Oryzias latipes: one gene and its partners. The protein of the gene in region 4 purifies or fractionates together with the protein of the main gene of each other region. This does not show direct contact. Links are inferred from orthologs where the notes say so. Each region holds a gene or a part of one and is shown on either strand. Other genes may lie near its edges. The genes, in order: siva1, map3k7, ras-related C3 botulinum toxin substrate 1 and E3 ubiquitin-protein ligase XIAP.

Region 1 (4,915 bases), on a different chromosome or scaffold from region 4:
AATTTTGGAGGAGGCAATTGTTTGACTTTCAGGCAAATCCCCTTTGTCCTTAGGAATAAATCTTAATTCAGTTCCAAATTTCTCTGCTTATAAAAGCCACATGTGAGCCTTTTCTGCACTCCTCCTGCCACTCCCCCCCCCACCCACCCCACATTAGGGCAGATTTGAAGTTCCACGGGACAACCCAAAATCAGACTACCGCTGGAGCATAAATCCATATCAACTTATCTTAGCTCTCACACTGGGTTTGCCTTTTTTGGACAGGTTGGCCCCGACTGTGCCAAGGCAGTGTGTCCTTGGTCCACTGTACAGCTGTCACTTACTCACACTCATTGATGCATATTAATAGCAGCAGCATCACTGGACTTGATGCTCGCCGCACTCAGACCACAGCTGGTCCCCAAGAGAATGGGTGAAAGACAAAGCCACGTGCTCCTGCTGGCTTGCTGCAGTTGGTGCTGTCTGGAGCGCCGTGGGTGATTATCTGCACCCCCCACCCCCCTACAGACACACATGTAGCAAGGGGGAGTTGAGGAGCATTCTTGGCAAGAAAAGTACAACATGACCTTTAAGTTGCATGGATAAATATGCACGGAAAAGCCTGACAACTCTGTTTTCTTCAAAGCTCTGTAAGGAGAAGAGACGGGCGCTTGGTCGAAGACTAAATGAGAAGTTGCAGGAACTGTGATTTCTTCCATCTGATCAGCATCAGTCGCGGCGTTTCTTGCGGCCATGACATCAACTGTTCAGACTTCAACAATAAATGTTTTTCTTTCAAGTATTCCGTATTCATGAGTCTTATCGGGTAATGTGCAGACAACCTGACGCCACCCTTTGCCAGCAGCTGTCTGCTCACTCAAGCAGAAATCAAGCGGTGCCCTGGGCCACCAACTGCAAGAGCTCCCAAAAGACGGGGGCCACAACTGGGCCGCTGAGCAGCCGATGTGACTAAAAAGCTCACATGCACTCACTCATCCCAGCCCGTATCCATAACAGTGTCACAAGACGAGACTTTTCTAAAGTCCCGTTGTGGACCTTTGCCATGAAGAACTATTACTCAGAGCGTTCAGCATCTGACCCTGAAACGGATCGTCGTCTGCGATGAGCAGCAGCCAACTGAAAGAGATGACTCCACCCAAAGGTCACGTCCAGCAGGGATGACTGCAGCCTGCTTTACCGCTCAGCACTTGTTTTATTTGAAATACATTTGATAGTAGATGTACAAGGTCAGTGTGGACAAGCTGCAATTTGATTATCAGTGTCAGTCAGAATACAAGGAGTCAGATGTTGTTCTTTGGTACATTCAAGGAGTGGATTAGGAATACTTTCTAAGTTTGGGTGGTTTATTCCTCCACCGAGTATGGAGGGCGCGACCTCCTGCCGCTGTGCAGTCATCCCAAACCTTCTAGCTCCATGTTGAGCTCCTTTTTCTATATTTGTGTGTCTATTAAAAGGTAAAATAGACAATACAAAACCACAATCACAAAAACGTTTCTAAAAAGGGTTCAAGTTTATTCAATCAAACCTTCAAATGACAATATTTACATAAACATGAATTAAGAAAAAAAGGGTATAAAATATCAATTAATGCAATTACAGTGTTTAAATATACATTTGTGTTCCAGCCTTTGGTCTTCCTTTACGTAGAGCAGCCGCAGCAGAGTACTTCATCGTACCGCCCGCTGTAACTGCAACACATGAAAGATTCCTCACGTTATGATTCAAACAGCCTCTTCATTAATTCAATGTGATTTATGATTAGGAATGTATAAAAACAACAAAAAACTTTAACTACAGTTGACTGAAAGCGAAGAGTCCCACTTTCAGCTTCTAAAGTATGCTTCCTCCTGTGTGAAGCTTCATCCTCTTTAGTTTGGATTCAAGAAATGTTGTAGTCAAAAGAAAATTATGGAAAAAAACAGAAATAAAACAATACCCTTAAGGGAAGACAGGAAGATTGATCAAGATACCTAAATCTTAAAATAGGATGGGAGGACCAGTTGTTTAAAGAAATTCTATTTATTCTTAATAAAAATGGAAAACTGTGTTCATTTGAGTAATTATGAGTTAATTATTAGTTATTGCTGATTTTGGTTTTTACTGCATGTTTCATGTCGTGGCAGCTGTGAGTGAGCACCAACGGTTTGACAGATCGAAGGATTTGACGTCAACCAATATGACTAAACTCCATAAGTAAATAGAATCTCCAACATGCATTATTTAGGATAAAACCAAAAGAAAAAACACTGTCCTGGTTCATTTTTAATGGAAATGCATTAAAGTTAAAGCAACCTTCTTTAGGTTTCATTTCAAATCAATCAGGGGTTTACTTATATTGACAGAAACATATTTGTAAGTCTTTGAACCAAACCTGAAGGATCGTTTACATTCACGAGCTTTTCCAACCAACATCCAATGATCTTAAAGCTACGTTCACACCACACTCTGCAACTCAGGTTCAAGCGGCCAGTTCCAATGAAGTTCATGACCCTGGCGTTCACGCATCGCTGTGCAAGTTTCTACGGCCGTTTTTAGCCTCCATGTAAAAAACATGTGTAGCAAATGAACGAGCGTTGAAAGTTAAACCAGGTCAAACGTTGAGCAATCAGGGCCTTAGATGTAAAAGTGAAGTATCGTTGGCGTCCCTTTTCATTCACAGAAGAGGCCGACTGTATGAAAAATGACCATGGAAGAGAAATGAATATTTGTGTTTTAAGGAAGCAGGAATTCTATGACACCAGGTCTTTCGTGTATCGGAACAGAGCTGTGAAGGAAAAAGCCTGGAGCAAGATTCACCAGATTTGCACCATTGACATTTCACACCAAGCCTCTTTCAATGAAGGGGGCAGACATGCACTAGAAAACATTGTGAACATGGGCCAAGCGCAGAAAATATATCTGTTGTAATAAGATTCCAATATATGGCACTGATCATAATAATGAGGATAAAATGAATATCTGATTATGATCGGGATTCAACATTCAATTCCGATCAAGTCTGAAACGACATGATTGGGCCCAATTTTTGATCGCATGATAAGAATAATCTAGTGGCTCTTTAAGGCTTTGAAAAACACTCTGGCTGTCATTTAATCAGCAGGAGTCAACAGGTGAATATCAATATGACAGTAATTTAGGAGTGGCAGACTTGCAGAAACAAATTGCTTTTTACTTAATAGATTTTTGATTAAAATGAACATTTGTTACAACAATGAGGCACAATAACTGTAAAGAGGCTTTCAATCAAAGTTTAACGGGCTTTTGTATAGAGACGGGTGAACAGAGTTTAGTTTCAAGTTTTCAACTTACTCTAAGATGGTGCAGACAGAGCAGCATAAGCTGCAGCAGTTGGAGCACTGTCGGACACAGGATGAACACGCCAGTCGATCACACTGAGAACACGGCGTCCTGGGTCCCTGGCTCTTCTGACACACACAGCAACCTGTGGGACCCACTGGGTTACCTGGACAAGTCACAAACATGAGCCTTTAGCAAAGCAGTGAAGTTAGTCTGATAAGGTGGGCAAACTTGTATGAACTCTGCCACCTGCTGGTGGAAAGTATTAAGTGAACCAAATCCTTTGAACCCTCGTGCTATCTTGGATGACCCCACCCTTACATTGACGTGTTCCTCCTACCATGACAAAGGTGGATAAAGGTGAAGAGGATTTCATGTAATCCATGGACACCAGAGAAGATCACAAATCATTGAAGAAAAAAGGTTCAGTGCACTGTCTAGTGGGTCTAGATGACCCAACTCCCAATGTTAAAGTGCCTAGAACAGCACAAGGGTTAATGTGATCCAAGGGGCCTAAAACCCAAGAAGTTTAAGCTTTTGTCAAACAATTAAAACATCTGCACAGGGAAAAAGAATTAAAACATGTTCTTGTTTTGGTGGACATTAATTTTTTTTTTAAACCCAAGAATTTAGCTAATCAAACTAAAAATGTCTAAATCCCAGTTTAAGATGAAAAAATGATTAATTTAATTAATCAACGATGAAAAAAAAAACATGTAAAAAATCTTAAAGTAACAACAAAGAACCGGAGCAGCTTCGATCCTGTATGTTAAAACTACGAACCCGTTACCTACTCCAGGTGGTAATGTGTAACTCTAGCCACAAGGAGGCAGTAGCGTGCAAAACTGGAACCATCAAACGATTAAAAAGAAGGCCTCTAGATTCTACAACACTATTAGAAACTGTTAGGTCACCGGCTTTAAGCGTACAAATAAGGGCAAAAAGGCAGAGACTCAAGCTGACAGAAAATAAACTAACATTGAAAAGAACGACTGCTATAGAAAAAACTTTGTCATATGTCAACAAAAAGTTTAATAGCTTTTAAGGGTCACTTTTCTATGAAGCTAAGGTGATAGAGCAACAAAAAGTAAATGACTTAACTACCAGCTGCAGGTTATTGTGATGGCAGGATATTAAACATAAGCAGAAATAAAAATGGGAGGCAATATGATACTGCTTCAAAGATCCATCTAATTACAAAACATGTTTTTCTCATGATGGGGAAAATATTTAAGGAAAAGTGAGCTTAAAATTGTGTTTGAGTACTTTTCTCAATTGGGGTTGGACAAGAAATCGATTTTTATTGATAAAGTCGAATTTGTTATTTAAGAAGATTAGTTCTTGGGAAATTCTGGATTTTATTTTCCCAGCACTCTGCTTTCTAGGGCTTCCGTTGCTCGGAGCAAGGTCAGCATGCCCGCTTCTCGCTGCACGCAGATGCACAACTAAAGAGAGGCTTGTTCCCAAAACAGTCACAGTTTCTTCATTTATATGGAACTGTCTCGGTTTTGTGGCTTAAGACTTTGAGCACAAAACGCATGCTGCACAATGCATTTGAAGGCTGTTGCTATTAAAAGTGGGAGTACAACAAATTCATTTCAACACCTGAAACAGACCG
Region 2 (4,959 bases), on a different chromosome or scaffold from region 4:
GCGGTTGTTCCCTGCCTGTTCCTGTGTGGCGTTGGGGGAATTCCGGCTGCCGCTGCTGCTGCGGCGGGGGTATGGGTGTGGGGGTGGCTGGGCGCTCCTCCTCCTTCTTTTCACATTCCACCATCCATTTTAGAAGAACATAAACACTCACCTGAGCACAGGTGTTAGCTCACCTTTGCACTAATAGTTTGCATGATTGAATGAATGAAAGATTTCACACTAGTTGGTTTAAAGGCATAGGTATGCGTTCGTGAACACTATCTGTTTTGTGTGCATGTTGACATGTGGACATTTTTGCGGCTAGCAGGTGTGTTGATAATATTTGAGTGTGTGTGAACAGGCCCCGCCCTTTTTGTACTACATTTGAACCGTACCGTAACGATAAACAACCAGTAAACCTGTCTGCTCTATGCTGCTTCATGGTCTTACCCCCCTTCCCCTCCTATTATCACCCTCCTACCCCCCCCTCTCTCTAACGTCCCTCTCTCTTCTTCCCCTCTTTCCTTTTCCGTCCGGTCCAACACCAAAGATTTTCAAACATGATTGAAATTAATAAAGTTTGGCCTCAATTACAAAAGGGGTTTATTCAGACATACCTTTGGTTTGTCTGAAGATGAATAACCCCTCTTGTTAAAATAAAATATGTCCAACACAAGAGGCCCTCAGCTCTCATCTGTTTGCCTAGCTGTTGGACAGGACAAGTTAAAAAAAAAAAATAAATAAATAAAACAATAAAAAAAAAACATTTTGAACAATGATGCAAAAACTGCAGCTGGAGTTTTATGACTTGCTGCCGTTTCAAAGATTTGGGCACTAAAAGGTTAAACCGAAGAAAATCAGAGCAAAGGATTTCAGATTTAGAAGACCCGACCAAAAGTCTCCACTGTTGTAACCTGATAGTTCTGTCATAGTGTCAGACTCAGTAGCACTGCCACCTATTGTCCGATCCCTACTCAACCGCTGGAGGCCAATCACAGCCTTTCCTGCATCATCTGCTGGTTTTGGGGATGCACCTCTGTTCTCTTGACACGCTGTGAGGCCCCTCCCACCTCATTTGCATAGCATTTTAAAGAAAAGTTAGCAGAATTGAACAGCCATCTATATTCTGAAAAGGAATTCCAACAACTGACTAAGGAGATTTGTGGGACTGTCAGGAATGTTCAACATTTCTTATTTTGCCTTGAAAATTTTCTGGTTTATCTCTATTAGCCACAGCTTTCCTTCTATTTGCTGTTGCTCTTTTGGTTGTTGTTGCTTGTAGGTTTTGTCATTTTTCTATACATCCTTTGTGTTTAGCACCTTGTGGACTAAGGCCTGTTGATGAGAAGAGCTCTACAAACACAGGGATTGAAGAATTAAGTGATGAAACATCCTTTTCCACCGACCAACAGCTGTTAAAGGTTTAGGACTCCCACATGGTGGCGCTAGTCTTCCTACATAGTTGTCATCTTTGCACGTGTGCAGAACATTTCACTTCTCTATTGCTGAGGACATGTGGAGGATCAAGACAAAAGGCCAAACTTCAGCGTTCATGAAGCAGAAACAGCTTTTGAATCAGCAAAAATGTACAGAACTGGGCTTTACAGTGCAGCTGAGCAGAGCTTGAATGCACCTCTATGCTGCTTTTATTCACACTAAACACACCAGGATCACATCTTGTAATGCAAAGAACCACACGTCTGATCCCAGCATCCAGGTCACGTCCAGAAGATGGGGGCGGGGCCAACAGCTGGGGGATGCAGCGTCTTTGGCTCAGACCGAACCCTGTCTGAACCTGAAACATTCACGCGGTGTGGGAGCAGCAGGACATTCACCCCACAGGTGAGCCTCGGCTGCAGTCAGTCCGCACCTCCATCGCCTACGATGCGCTCGCAGGCGGAGGAGCGCCAACGCCAGGTCACCAACCGGGCCGTACAGTCCAGACTCCTCAAGTTTTCTTTTAAAACCAAAAAGTTTAAATAGCAATAAAAGTCGTCTAAACGTAGTAACTGTGCAAAAACAACAGAGTTGGATCTAAAGCTGGTGAGAAACATGATGATCATCTAAAAGAATGTCGTCACCTCCGTCGGGTATGAAGAAGGAAAGTCTCCGTAGCTCCTCTGTCAGACATGATCCGACCTGAACTTCAGCCGACCGCTAAGGCAACATGTGAACTAAAAGGAGAGCTGAGCAGATCCTCCAGCAGATTCAGGGATAAAACATCTACACACAAAAATCTACAGGGCGGTTAAACCAGGAGGGGCTGTGAGGATGGTGGGGAACTGGTTTTCATGTGAACTTCACGTCCCAGAGAGGCTGTGAGGAAGTGCAAACTCCTTTGAGAAGTCTTCCTGGAGGGGCTCTGGATGGAGCCAGGCCGGGGGGGGGGGGTAGTGTTGAGAGTGCAGGGGGGAGGGGAGTGGGCGTGTCTCCGTTTCATCAGGAAGTGCCCTGCCTCTTCTGCTGCTGCACCCGGATCAGCTCCAGCTGCTTCTTGCACTTCTGGTAGTAGGTGGACAGACTCTTGTTCTCCTCCAGCAGCTTCTTGTGCTCCTGCACCAGACGGGACGTGTTCTGCTGGTCCTTCTCGTCTTGGTCCAGTTCAGCGATGAGCTCCTTCCTGCTCAAGACACAAACAAACCGCCATGAGACTTCCTGAGACTTTGGAAAGTCCCCTTTTCTTCTGAATAAAAACTCTGTAGGGGATCCGCCGTCGGCTGGATGAAGCTCGTCTGCTGGACTTTAAATGTGTAGTTGTAGATTTAGATAAGTAAATTCTTCTCTTTGAGTTCTGGTAAATCGCCTGTCCGTCCTGGGGGAGGATCCCTCCTTCATGTGGACACCCCTGAGGTTTCTTCGTTTTTCCGGAATCCGGTTTTTTGGGAGTTTTTCCTTACCGCGAAGGGGGGTCTAAGGGCAGGGATGCCAGTATAGTTTAGTCAGTTTGTTAGTTCATTTTAGTATTTTGCTATTGAACTCTTTGTATTCGTGATCCTTTTGAGTTCATGTTTCACTTAAGCCCATCGAGACGACTGTTGTTGTGATTTTGGGCTATACAAATAAAATTGAATTGAATTGAATTGAATCGGAGGACTTCATCCACCAAATCAGTGGCCCCCAAATCCAGACCGTGAGGGCCGGTGTCCTGCTGGTTTTCCAGAAACCCTGCCTTATTTGCTGCTGACTACCTTGATACCTTGTTTAGCCAATATGGAGCTTCAATGGCAGGTTGGTTAGAAAACATGTAGGAGAGGTCTGGATTTGGGGACCCCTGCACTAAATGCTTAAAGCTCTGGACACACCAGGCATGTGAAAATGTGGGTTTTCACATTGGACAAGCAGGGAGGGGCTTCTTCTTTATCGTTTTCTCTTTTTTTTACTAACACTTGTCCACCACCTACAGTTGGAAGAGGCTTGATGTGGAATGTAGAAGCGGAGCAAATGTCCTGACTCTTCCTCCAGGCTTTTTCTTTCACAGCTCTATTCCAATATATGAAAGATTTGGCTTAGTTTCACTCCAGCAAATATTAATTTATCCTCCATGATCAATTTTTAAACTGAAAATTCAAGAAACTGAAAAGTCCCCATACATAGGTTACTACCACGTCTGACAAATTCAACCTAGTTTAGTTTTCAGCGCTTGTTCAATGGCCACGTGTTTTGTATGATGAGCCCAAAACCGGTCGTAGAAACATTTGAGCTGCGTGCAAATGCACAAGTTTTGAACGCAGAACGCAGAAACGCACATTTCCATAGATTTTTCATGAACATAGTTTAAGACCTATGGTTGAGATAATAATCAAAGTAACTTGTTACAAATGTTCTTGTTTCATATCTCCTTCTAAATATTTGTAGGATTCAGGGCTCCAGACTGCGAGCAATTGGTCGCATTTTGCGACCAAAATTTGAGAGTGTGCGACTAAATTTTACATCCAGTCGCACATGTGCGAGCAGTAAATTTGCCTCCCCCACCCTTCGTATTTTTTTATACATTAAACGTGGAAGGGGCACGTCAATGATCTATGAAATAATCAATGAGACGCGAGCGCACACGCACGCAGGCAGGCACACACACTCGCGCACATACTCATGAAACGCAAGCACGAACACTCTCGCGTGATGCCTGTGTGTTAGGCGGCCACTGCGTCTGAGAAGAATAGGAAAAGTCACTGTGAGTGGCTAAAATGCGTGTAGGGGGAGGGGCCTAGAGCTGACCAACCAATCACAGTGGGGTATATGACTCTTGGGGGCGTGGCAATGACAGGGTTTTGCAAGCAGGAAACCTGACAGCCCCCTCCCCGGACCACATTAAGGAGTTCTTTACTTTCCTTTCTAGAACGTATCTATTCGCTCGTAATTTTCTAAATACATGCAGTCCGTGCTGAACTTTTCTCTGGGTCACACAGATCCGGAGGAAGGTTTAGGTTTTGGTTACGGTTACGGCGGCGCATCATACGGGTTACGGCAGCACACCGCTCCCGTCCCGCGGGAGTCGGGTCAGCTGAGGAGAATAAATGCCCCCGACGTACATGCGTGACAGCTAACGGGGCTTGAACTTTAAACACGCTCGAGCAAAAACAACATTAGTTTTAGACACACTGAAAATACGTGGGGAAAATGCAACGATAGACGTGTTTGAGATGAACCAGCACCTCGCCTGGATCGTTGGGGAGACCAGGCGGGGGGGGGCTGTGAGATGAAAGCGAATCTGCAGCAAGACTGAAGGAGAACAGGAAATTGGAGCTGTCCTTAACATTCAATTTAGATTTAATATTCTTCTCCCCCTTAGTATGATCTGTGTTATTATATATTTTATGATTATTTGAATGTTTTGTAATGTATGTAGCCTTTTTTAATGAATTGGTATTTTAAATTATTTTAATTAATCCCTCCACTACAAAAACCATCAGGACACATGTCCCATAATGCATTGTTTTGTAGTCTGTAGGGCAGCTTTCAGTCAGTTCAGTTTTCAGCTGT
Region 3 (5,805 bases), on a different chromosome or scaffold from region 4:
TTGCAGGTGGGGGGCACAGGACGGCCCGAATAGCCTCATCGAAGACCGTTTTAAGGCCACGCTGAGTCAGGGCTGAGCATTCCAGGTACTTGACAGAACCTGAGGAAGAAAAAAAAGACAAGAGGAGCCTTTGAGTCCCCTAAAGAAAGTGGTTCTTTTCTGATCCCTTTTATTTCAACAAATTCATCCAAAACATGCAGGATGAGAAAACACTCCTACCGATCTCTTTGGCCATAGCTAGACCTTGGGGATAAGTGATGGGGGAGAGTTTCTTCTCCTTCAGCTTCTCCGTAGTTTCCTTGTCATCTCTTAGATCCAACTTGGTGCCCACCAGGATAATGGGAGTGTTGGGACAGTGGTGTCTCACCTCTGGGTACCACTACACAAAAACACAAAATCATTTTAACAAAAAGATATTTCCGATTGCATAACTGCAACAATTTAAGGATAAAAAGTTTTTTACCCCCCCTTAATAAGCTTAAAAAGCAGCACTCCTGTTTTGTGAAAGATAAACAAAAACTACGCCACTCGGGAAAGTGCAGTTTCCTGTGCGTTTCTATCTCTCCAAAACATAAGAGCCATGATGCTCGCGGCTATGCTGGTGTCTTTAATTGGGATCCAACTTTACTGTTAATGCTGGATGTTTTAAATATTTAACAAAAAAGTGTAAGAAACACAAAAAGTAAGAAGATTGGGGAATAGTAAAAATGTAGCCTTAGATATGAATAAAATGTATGTGTTTTGGGCCAGTTTTCTACATAAAAAGCCAATCAATAGTACACATCTCTTGAAATTGTTCTTTAAATACACTTTTTTTTTTTTTACAAAAAAATAAAAATAAACTGTATATGAAAAAACACAGGTCTGTATTTTAATTACCAACATTAAAAAAGTCAACGTGTTCACATCTGTATTATTAGTGTTTTTTGCTCAGGCACCACTAACCTTGGCACGGACGTTTTCAAATGAGGCCGGACTCACAAGAGAGAAGCAGATGAGGAACACATCCTGTAAGACAAAGACAAAAAAGGTTCAGAGTCCATGAAATTCATTTCCTGTTGAGCAAAAAATAAATAAAAATAAATAACCTATCGCTAAGGTGGTCTGTTTAACTTTCTTTAAAACCCTCTTCTACATTTGAATACCACAAATGCTCCCAATTAATTATTTATAAAAGTTATCAACTAAATAACACCTTGTCTGACTATTTTTGTCATTGTACCGTCTGTGGGTAAGAAAGTGGGCGGAGTCTGTCGTAGTCTTCTTGTCCAGCTGTATCCCAAAGGCCCAGGTTCACCGGCTTCCCATCCACCATAACATTGGCAGAGTAGTTATCAAACCTGTGAGAATCAAGCATTCATAAAAACTCAGTTATGTCATTCAAGCCTTGCTACATATTTCTGAATTTCTATGATCATTAGATAAATCAAACAGGTTTTTTGGGGGTCAAAAATCAAAGCCTTGTTCATCAGCAGTACATGTTTTCAGCTTGTTCTTGAATCAGAATAAAAGCAGAATGTACATTTATAAATAATCAGAATGAACCAAAGTGTTTTGAGTGACAAATTCCCAAAAAGCCACAGATCCCACAACTAAGAAAATAAACTAGCTGGTTGCACTTCTGGTAATTTTACATAACAAATGCTTCTCTGAACCCAAACAGCTGCCTGTTAAAAAAGAAAGTGACTTCTTATGTACAAGGAAACTAATATTCCCCCATAAGACCAGTTGAAGAAATGAAACAAAGACACAGTTAAGCAACAACTGTCCAGAAGAAGAATGACAGACAGCTTAGCCATTATGAATAAATAAACACTCACACTGTGGGGATGTACTCTCCTGGAAAGGCATTGGTGGTGTAGCTGATGAGTAGACATGTCTTACCCACAGCACTGAATAAGAGAAATGTTATGTTCAGAATTCAGGAAAATAAAACATATACAAGCTGTCATTAAAGTCAGGCTTAAGTTGTTCGATTATTTTACATTTACAAAGCTAAAAACAGTCCAAGCATTTTATTTAATAACATCAAAGTTACTTGAAATAATTACAACCATTAAAAATATAGTTTCAAGTTAAATGTGGACACTACGCAAAGTTTGGTTTTTAACAAACTGAAAGGAGGAAGTCTGAGAGTCACATTATCATCCGTAGGATAAAAGCAGGATCAAAATAATCCAATATCAAAAATCAATAATTGCCAGTTAATCATTTATTATCATCTCGTAGGTAATGTCAGTTTTATTGAAGCACTCCTGATAGAATGAGTGCACTGATTTCAGGAAATAAGGTTTTTTTTTCTCTTCCAGGCTAGTTGATGAGTAAGCAGATATTTTAAACTTTTGAAACTTTAAAGAGAACTGGTGCCTTAGAGTTTCTTCAAGTCGGAACGGAAAACAAAACAAAAGTCGGAGAGGTCGAGGGACGACTCCGCTGCGGTGGGACCAGCCGCACCCTCGACAAGACGTTACAAGTGTGTTTACCTCTAGCATATTACACATCAGTCAGACTTTCAATATTAGCTCATTGACAATCCTGTCTTTAAAATATTGCAAACTAAACCTACTAATTTAACTATTGTGTAACACAAAAACACGCCCGTGTCAATACAACAGAAGAAGAAACAAATTTCAACTCTTCGAAAAAGTACATATAATTTTTGCCCATTTTGTTCAAAAATAACTTCAAAACAAATCTAAGATCAATCTAACTCTATTCACTGATTTTGGCGTAAATAAATAAAAAAATCTGGAACATTGGATCCAGAACGGTAATATCAGGGGAAAAACAAATGCAATACAAAATGTTGTACATTTCGAAAAAAAAAGAAAAGAACTTGAAAGTCCAATATTTAACCGATAACTTGGCTAACTTTACAACTCCAAAAATAAGACGCAACATTTATGTCGAATGACAACTTTTCGACATCACTGGCGGTTTCAGGGTTTGATACCAAAACTGTCGATTAAATGTTAAATATCACAGTGAGTTTAGTTAGGTTCAACTTACCCGTCTCCAACAACGACACACTTTATGGCCTGCATTGCGCCGCAGCTACAGGAATGCTAAGTTAGCCCAGAGCCAGTTAACGTTAGCTCGGATAGCTTGTCCTTTGTCCGCAACTCCTCTCAAGTGAAACTACCCAACAGTCTTTGCTAACAGTCGACCGCGCTAACTCAAAACTTTCTAAACGGAGAACGGCTTGTTAGAAAATAAAGTTGCGGCGACTCAATTCGGACTTTAGGTCAACTAAACTCAGAAATTCCCTGGCAACATTCCCATGCTTTCGTGAGCTGCTCTATGAGTTATGGAGCAAAACAGCGGCCACCACCCCTATAGCTAAAGAGAAAAAAAAATGAAGCCAGCTCTACAAGATAGGGCATCCGGCGCACGCCCACAGACACCTTAACCAAAGAAAAGATAGCCTCAAACTAGTAGTAAAAAAAAGGGTCAGCTACTCTGGTCTTAAATATAAAGCTTAAAGTTATATATAAATAACATTTGAAAACTAAAATATTACATTTTGGTTTAATGAAAACAAAATAAAAGAAATCGTCGAAGACGGAATATTTACGGTGTGACACCTAGGGTGGAACTGACGTCAGTTTTGACGCGTCTACGGTTCATTTACGATTACAATGGAATTTTTGGTGTGTTGTTTAATTTCCCTGAATTATGCCTTTCAGGCTGAAAAAGTTTTTTTGGAGATGGAAGGATAGCTTGCTCTCCCACCCCTACACCACGATAAATTCAATTATACCATACCAGCAAACATGCACTGTATTAAAAAATAAAGTAGTAAAAGAAAAAAAAAGTCAATGTGTGCCTATTCTAATACGACAAAGATATTTAGCTTCAAAAATGTAACACAATCAATGATTAGTTGGTCATTGTATTTCCAAAAAGTCTGTAGTACTTTGCTTCAGTTCAAGATTTTTTGTGTAGTGAACTTCTGGAAAACAAACCAATTTACCTGGTTTTGTAATGGTGCAAAAACAACATATATACATATTTAGTAACTCAAAAAACCTCTTCTATGTTTCTGTTTGTTTAGTTTTATGAGAACCATAGTAGTTGTGTCTAGGACGTGTTTTTTTTTTCCTTAGCCACCACCCAGATCTGGAAGTCCTTTCAGTCTTTACTCGGGGTTTTATTTAATCCTGGTTTTACTGCACTTCCGTGTGTCGCAGCGATGTCTGTCCTCGGTAGAAAACTAACAGGGTGGAGTAGATGCCAGTACAACGGCAGCAAAAGACGGAGCTCGTTGAGGGTGAAAGATAGAAGAATGGAGCTTCATCCAACACTTGCAGCCATTGTAGCGTCCCCTTGCCTGTTGCCTTTGTAAGCCAAGAACACAGCGCTCAGGGTTGGGCTTTTATGGCGAGTCTTTCGTATCTGGTGCTCCGGTTTTCGGGCTCCGCTGGTCGGACTTACGGACTATTCTCCAAAGGCTTGACGAGGACTTTGTTGATATTTTTTGATCTCGCATGGCGGCTGAGAATACGATTCCCCTACTTTTACTTGGTAGCCTCAATGGTGTTTAACGTCAGATTACAGGTAAATGTTTACACACTATTTTCAGACTGACGGTCACGGTGAGCTTGTCACCATGCCAACAACAGCTGTTGGGGGGCCTCGATAGGGAACCTTTGTTCTTATAGTCAGTTAATCCCAGGTTAAATTGATATATAATCTCTACTACGTGCTGTCCCATAAAACTGGGTTCATGAAAATCATCTGTTAATCGGAAAAATAATTTACTGACATTTGATCAATAGTGAAACAAGTTCATATTCACCCATATTTAGTGTTTGTATCTGATCTAAAATAAAAAACAGTAGTCTGTAATGTGTAATCAGTCAGGGGAAACAACAAAATAGATTTTTTCAATCTTAAATATGAAATATTAGCAATAATTGATACTTTTATACCACAGAAATGTAGTATATCAGCTTTTTTCCTTGTCCTTTGAATGTGCAAAATGGAAAATGTGACGTTTTTGTCTTTTTACAGGTCCATATAGAAATCCATTGAGTCTTTAATGCAAACCTTTGGACTTTAAGAAGTGAACGGTAAGACCTCCCATGCTCAAGATGGGCTGACAGTGATTTCTTACAATCAAACTTGGAACAGAAGTTTAAATTTGGAACAATGTCCAAACAGATAGAAGTTTAGGACTAACTATAGAAATGTTATTATTGATAGAGATGTATATATACAAAACACAACCAAACTATAAATTTGAATCCAGCAGGGATCCACTTGGATGTGTTGGGGTTTAATCATGCCAAATGTGGGTCAGATTTTCCCCTGCGTGTATGTTTCTATTAATATATTTGTTTATGTGTAGTTATATGAGTGTATATTGGTTGCATCAAATATTTCTTTTTTTAATCTTCCCCTACTTTTCCTTTTAAAGTATGCGTCCGAAATAAAATACCATCATTATCATCAAGCTGGTGTCTCAATGCAGTAAAGTGACGTGTCTTCTTCTCTCCTCATCAGTTCGCCTCACAGAGATGTGCTGCCTTTGCCGGTCAAAGGTGGTCATGATGTGCGGAAACGGAGAACCCGGTGAGAACTGACTCATGGATGTGGATTGGAAATAAGCCTCGTAGTTACTGATCCAGTTTAAACTGTGAAGACTGCCCTGTTCTCTCTCACTGACAGCGACGAAACAAGAAATTGAGAATGAAATCAGATGATTGTCTCTTGCTTGTACGCTCATTTATCCGACGTGTCTCAGGTCACAGCCAAAATCTGGATGCACTTTGCTTTCCTCTTAGAAAGGTTTATCTTCACAAC
Region 4 (5,571 bases):
AATAGTAACAATAACATGAATGCAAATCAGTGTCTTTTTATGGCTCCTACTGGGTTCCGGTAAGTGAAAAATTAACCTGATTGGCTCTACAAGTGCTGAAGGTTGCAGACCCCTGGCTTAGGTTCTCCTTCTCAAAAGGTTCAGCTAACTAATACCATAGTGTACATTTTTAGATTTAGATACATATCCAAGAATATTTACCTTTCTCCTCTTCAAAAAATCCATTTTGATGTTCTGAAGCCTGGAAACAAAAGGGTCACATCATCACTTTTTGTAAATCCTTTTGTCTGAACTCATGAGAAACGTCTAACAGCTTTTGTTTTAAACACACTCCCCCACCAACTCTTTAACAGAGAATAGGCTAGGCATAATACAAAATAAACCTTCTTTGTTTTATTTAAAAAAAAAAAAACAATTTCTACAAAAACTAGGGAAGTGAAGAAGCTTCAGAAACAGATTTCTTAAATGAGGGGAAATAATATGCCTTACCTGTTGTGAGTATTTAGGTTCTTGTAGCTGAATTGTATTAACAAACTCTTGGCCTTTTTCTGATAAAAGAAAGCTGCATCTAAAATGGAATTTAAAAAAAAGGATGTAAGATACATACATAAATACACTTACATCCCTTGTGCTATCCTAGGCACGTTAACGTTGGGAGTTGGGTCATCTAGACCCACTAGACAGTGAGCTGAACCTTTTTTCTTCAATGATTTGTGATCTTCACTGGTGTCTATGGATTACATGAAATCTTTCCACCTTTGTCCACCTTTGTCATGTAGGGAGAACACGTCAATGGCCATCTTGACCCCATAGGATAGCACAAGGGTTATACGAATACATAATCCTTCTTTTATGGGAAAAAGCAAAGCTGGAGGTTTTTACCCAGGATAATATTTGGCATGTTCTTCCCAAGGATTGTCCTCAGGGTCCCAATCTTTCAAACCACCACCACATCTGAAACAGATCACTTCGTCTCCTTCTCCTAGAATAATAATAAAAAAATATTATGAACAAACATTTAGATTTAGAAAAATTAAAATATTACCGGTACATCTCATTTGTAAAGGGGATGTTTGAACAAACATGCTTTACCTTTGCTGTAGAAGCCAGCTTTAGCAAGCAGCTCGTGGTCAATCGGGTGCTGGACGCGTGCAAAAGTGCCGAGTCGCTCGTCAAGATTTTCCAAATTGACAGGTGTGCGATGTTGGTTTCTGCTGCCAGTCTCTTCATTTTCTCCTCCATCTCTTTCCAGAGGCACATTTCCCACGTCATGACCAAGGATGTAGAAGCAGTGGGAAAAATGTTTTTCATGCTCGTTCCAGGGGGTGTCCCCAGGTTTCCAGCCACTTAGCTTGCCTCCACAACTGAAACACTCCACTTTATCCTCCTTTCCTAAGTAGAACAAACCTGCCTGAGCCAAATCTCGAGGTCTGACTGGAGCAGAACGCGGCCACGAAGAGAAAGTTTCCAGGCGGGCTTCTTCGCTTTTCATATTCCGGTTCCGTGGATATGGAGTCTCATCAACAATGGCTCTTGTTCTCAACTGGTAATCTATATATCCTTCAGTTCCATCATGAAGGCCCCCATTGCTGAGGGGCATATGGGGATTTGACTTAAAACGGTTGAAGTGTGTGCAGCGGAGAAACGTGCACGATGGGGAAACCTGCATGGAAGGAAAATGTTGAACTTTATTATTTAAAAAGTTGAAAAAGAATTGCCCAACATTTCTAAACTATTTTTTTTTTCAACATAAACAATTACCTGTATGTGTCTGTCCACTGGTTGATCTTCCTGGGACCAGTTTTCTACCGTTTTCTGGCAACTGAAGCAGCGTACGCGGTCAGAGACTCCAGTGAAGAGGAAGCCAGCTTCAGCCAGTTGCAGCGGTGACACCTTCTTGCTCCAGCTGGAGTTGTAGAAAGATTCCAGACGATTGTTTATCTTAGAGTAATCAATTGTGGAGTCCGATTCCCAATTCCCATCTTGGCTGGGGTCACACATCATTGAAACAAGTAGCTGTGGCGGTAAACACAAAATCTAAAAGAAAAGAAACATGAAAAAGGTTTGAGTTAGAAGTGTAGAACCTTGAATAATAGATCATGGGGGAATCTCTTTTTTTTTACTTAAAGACCTACTCCGATCATCTTTTGAGCCATTTTTAAAGTGTTCCCAGGGGTCTTCTAATTACCACTATGCCATTTTTGTCCAAAAAAGTGCCCAGATTTTTCTGCAGAGCAGCAGTAGATCATTAGAAATTCGCCTCTGAGTTGTTGGCTGGACTGTTGGCATGGAGCAACGCCGCTTCTCTCCATGTTGCCGAGGGCTCTCTGTTGCCATGTTCTCCTGCTAGCTTCAGTCCTCCTCAGTCATTCAGATTTGTCAAAAATATAAAGTATTCTGGAAGTTAACCAGCTTCCCTATCTTTATGTCCACCTTTGACATCACATCGTGCTAATAAACATTGCATCAGCACGCCTGTGTTTCATGCAATTCTTATTCATGACACATACTAAAGGTGTGATGACTTTTATTCAAGCCTAGTCACCTCCCAGAGGAAATTATTTGTCAAAAACAGAAAGTAGAAGTCAAATATCTTTCAGTTGGACATTTTTTGAGAGTGTGTGTAGATAGAATGGTATGGAATGTCCATTCCATTCATAGTCATAATCTGTCCACATAGCTAGGCTCTTTAAAGTTCTTTTAAGCCGGTAACTCAGGAAACCAGATGGATATCAGTTGAAAAAATGAATGTTTTAGTGAAGGCACAAGGGATGGGCACGAGGGCGGCTCCTGTAGTTAACTTATATGCCAAAGGGTGTAGCAGATGTACTGTTCACCATTCTTAAAGAGCTAATCAGATCATTGATTCATCAAAACACAATGTTGGAACACTGTTAATAGGTTTCAGCGATCTGCCACATATGTTTGTTAGATTATCCAGAAATGTACTAGCAGCACAGTCAAAAACAATCACTGTTTTCTACAGGAGGTTGAGACTCTTGTGTGATATTGTTGCCACACATTAGGACAGTCATATGCTGCATTACTCCTTCTGACAAACACGCTGTACGTGGAACTATTTGGTGCACATTTAGCTGTGACATGGGATTTTATCTGCTGGTGGTGGAGGACTGCATGTGATCTTTGCACTGTCACGTTTTTCTGCCTCAGTGATCAAGTGATCAAATCAAAAGCTAACGGCCATATTTACTACAGTAAATATGCTGTCGCAAAGACAGTTTTGCTGTCTTTGCGACAGCAAAACTGAAATTAACATCTCTAACCGCCCAGTGAGCGACAAATGCGTATGCCGTCATTGTTGTGTTTCTACGAACTATCAACTGCATACTTTGCTCTGTTCACAAAGATTCCACCCACATCATTTAAAGGGCTACACATCACGGATTAAAAATTAATATAAAAGAAAAAAGACAACTGCTGGTGTTTTACAGTGGATAAAGGAATCTTACATAAGGAGTCAAATTATTATTTAAAAGTGCGTACCTTTGCTGTAACTATAGTTTGTTTACATTTCATGTAACATTTGACTAGCTAGCTAGTTAGCCTTGTTCGCTAAGCGCGCGATTACTTTACCAGCGGCTCTAAAAACATAAAATACTTGCATTTCTTTGCTCGTGTAGGGAGGTCTTCGGTTCGTGGTTTGAAAAGGTCCTTGATGAGATCGCCCTGTGAAGGAAATCGGCGTAGAAGAATTCCTTTGGCGTGACCTCCCAAAGTCAGGAAGTAAGAACAGCGTAGTCTTTGACAATGCGCATGCGCATCGTCGATTACGCAAAGAAAGTGGGGGTTCAATGAGAAGATTCCAGAGGTTCTGTTTCAGTTTCGTTATGGAAAAAAATATAAAACATTGTCACTTAAACAGAAAAATTTCAACATGCTTAACAGCTCAAGCCCGAAGATGTTATTGCTAAAGAAAGATATGTTTTTGTAACTTATGCAGTATGTGTTGAAACGTAGATTTGAAAAAAAAAAGAGAGAGAAAAAAAACCACGCAGTCCCGAAAAGCGACTTTTAAGCAAATCTCTAGGTTTTTTTTTTCTTCCCAGGGGGGGTTTCCCTTACAAATATGCTGTTTAAAATCAGTAAAATACACTGTCGACAAAAGAAACTAAATGAGTAAAAAACATTTATAAATGTGTCCCTTATGTCTCAAAGCAAATGCGACATTTATATGATTAATTTATTCAAATTTAGCTTTTTTTCTGTTTTTCAACGTTTGGAGCAAGAATACAAAATGCCACATATTTTGAAGTGGGTTTTAGTCTATGCTTTTATTATGAAGGATGCAGTTTTCTTTAAGATCACACTTTAACTTCTGAAAAGTTGGTGGGACAGTGGTTCAAATTTCAGTGTGTTCTGAGTCATTTTAAGTTCAGCCGGCTGTGAGGCTGCCCTGTCAGACACGCAGCATCCAAACTATACAACTTTAGATATATTTACATTTGGTCACATGAAATAAAAAATAAAACATTTTAAACAGCTTCCAAAACATAACCAATGTGGAATAGGGGAATAGTATTAGGCAGAAGTCATAAATAGGGTTTTAATAAACATCCATTTGTTCAAACAAATCTTCAGTGACATTTCTTTGGTTAAAAAAAATACAGAAAAGTACAGGTAAACCACTAGAAAAAAAGTTGAAGCCACCAAACACAATTTGATGAATTCACTTCAAGAAGCAGTGAAAAAGGGAAAGTACGAAGTTTCTGTGCAGTTTGGTAAGAAACCCCCATGCTGAGTGAGACTTGCTGTTTAGGTGACAAGGCAAGCATCCAACTTCCCCTTATTTGATGTGGGTTAATGGGGAATTACATGGTATAAATTAAACACTCTTTTCACACCCCCGCAAGTTTCTCACCCAAGCTTGGGTCCTCTACTAGAGGCCTGGGAGCTTGAGGGTTCTGTGCAGTATCTTTCCTAGGACTGAACCTTTCTGGACTGAGATGTTTCTCCAGGGATCTGCTTTAGCCACTCTTCTGGTCATTTCTAACATTACAGCCACTCCTCCACCTTAGGGGTTACTGTCCTGAGTGATCGGATAACCACAGGCACCACCGTCAAATTAACCTTAAAGCTTTCTCCAGTTCTTCCAGACTTTCCTCTTTTCTTTGTCCACCTCTACAGTGTCTGGTTGGTTCTCCATGACCATCTTGTCAGTTTGGATCTGGGAGTCCCACAGGATCTTAGCTCTCTCATTCTCTGCCACTTTTAGAGGTGCTTTCCCATTTGTGACCTTGGGGTTTCCACTCCAAATTCTGCACAGATGTACCTGTAGGCTCCAGTCATTTGGTTGCGATATCAGTAGAACATCCCATGGTCCTCCCAAGATAAAATGTATCGCATCCTCTGCTTTCCATTGCTTGGGGCATTCACAGGACACACTGTCGGTTGGAGCCTTGTGCTTCTATTCGTGGATCTTGGATGTTTCATCCTGGATAGTAACTCTAACGCTCAATAGGCCTCAGCCGGCTTCACCTCCTGGCCTCTTTCCCCATTTCTTTATCCAACACAAAAATCAAGACAACCATGGACAACCTTTCTTTTCATCAT

What was found.
Region 1: the proteins of E3 ubiquitin-protein ligase XIAP (region 4) and siva1 purify together in Homo sapiens (affinity purification with western blotting; 3 studies listed by BioGRID). This does not show direct contact. The link is inferred for Oryzias latipes from reciprocal best matches to the Homo sapiens genes XIAP and SIVA1.
Region 2: the proteins of E3 ubiquitin-protein ligase XIAP (region 4) and map3k7 purify together in Homo sapiens (affinity purification with western blotting; 3 studies listed by BioGRID). This does not show direct contact. The link is inferred for Oryzias latipes from reciprocal best matches to the Homo sapiens genes XIAP and MAP3K7.
Region 3: the proteins of E3 ubiquitin-protein ligase XIAP (region 4) and ras-related C3 botulinum toxin substrate 1 purify together in Homo sapiens (affinity purification with western blotting; 3 studies listed by BioGRID and IntAct, with this or other methods). This does not show direct contact. The link is inferred for Oryzias latipes from reciprocal best matches to the Homo sapiens genes XIAP and RAC1.

Annotation. Positions count from the first base shown.
Region 1 is NC_019880.2:14,647,510-14,652,424, reverse strand, and holds the end of siva1 (apoptosis regulatory protein Siva), read right to left. Parts: intron 3,464-4,915; coding exon 3,310-3,463; intron 1,689-3,309; coding exon 1,640-1,688; 3' UTR 1,488-1,639; downstream 1-1,487. UniProt on the Homo sapiens protein: Induces CD27-mediated apoptosis. Inhibits BCL2L1 isoform Bcl-x(L) anti-apoptotic activity. Inhibits activation of NF-kappa-B and promotes T-cell receptor-mediated apoptosis.
Region 2 is NC_019882.2:20,573,927-20,578,885, forward strand, and holds the end of map3k7 (mitogen-activated protein kinase kinase kinase 7), read right to left. Parts: intron 2,600-4,959; coding exon 2,419-2,599; 3' UTR 1,529-2,418; downstream 1-1,528. UniProt on the Homo sapiens protein: Serine/threonine kinase which acts as an essential component of the MAP kinase signal transduction pathway. Plays an important role in the cascades of cellular responses evoked by changes in the environment.
Region 3 is NC_019866.2:11,732,046-11,737,850, forward strand, and holds the start of ras-related C3 botulinum toxin substrate 1, read right to left. Parts: upstream 3,593-5,805; 5' UTR 3,045-3,592; coding exon 3,010-3,044; intron 1,893-3,009; coding exon 1,821-1,892; intron 1,341-1,820; coding exon 1,223-1,340; intron 1,009-1,222; coding exon 946-1,008; intron 380-945; coding exon 220-379; intron 100-219; coding exon 1-99. UniProt on the Homo sapiens protein: Plasma membrane-associated small GTPase which cycles between active GTP-bound and inactive GDP-bound states.
Region 4 is NC_019868.2:22,022,305-22,027,875, reverse strand, and holds the start of E3 ubiquitin-protein ligase XIAP, read right to left. Parts: upstream 3,775-5,571; 5' UTR 3,624-3,774; intron 2,038-3,623; 5' UTR 2,005-2,037; coding exon 1,762-2,004; intron 1,664-1,761; coding exon 1,093-1,663; intron 983-1,092; coding exon 883-982; intron 569-882; coding exon 490-568; intron 242-489; coding exon 202-241; intron 1-201.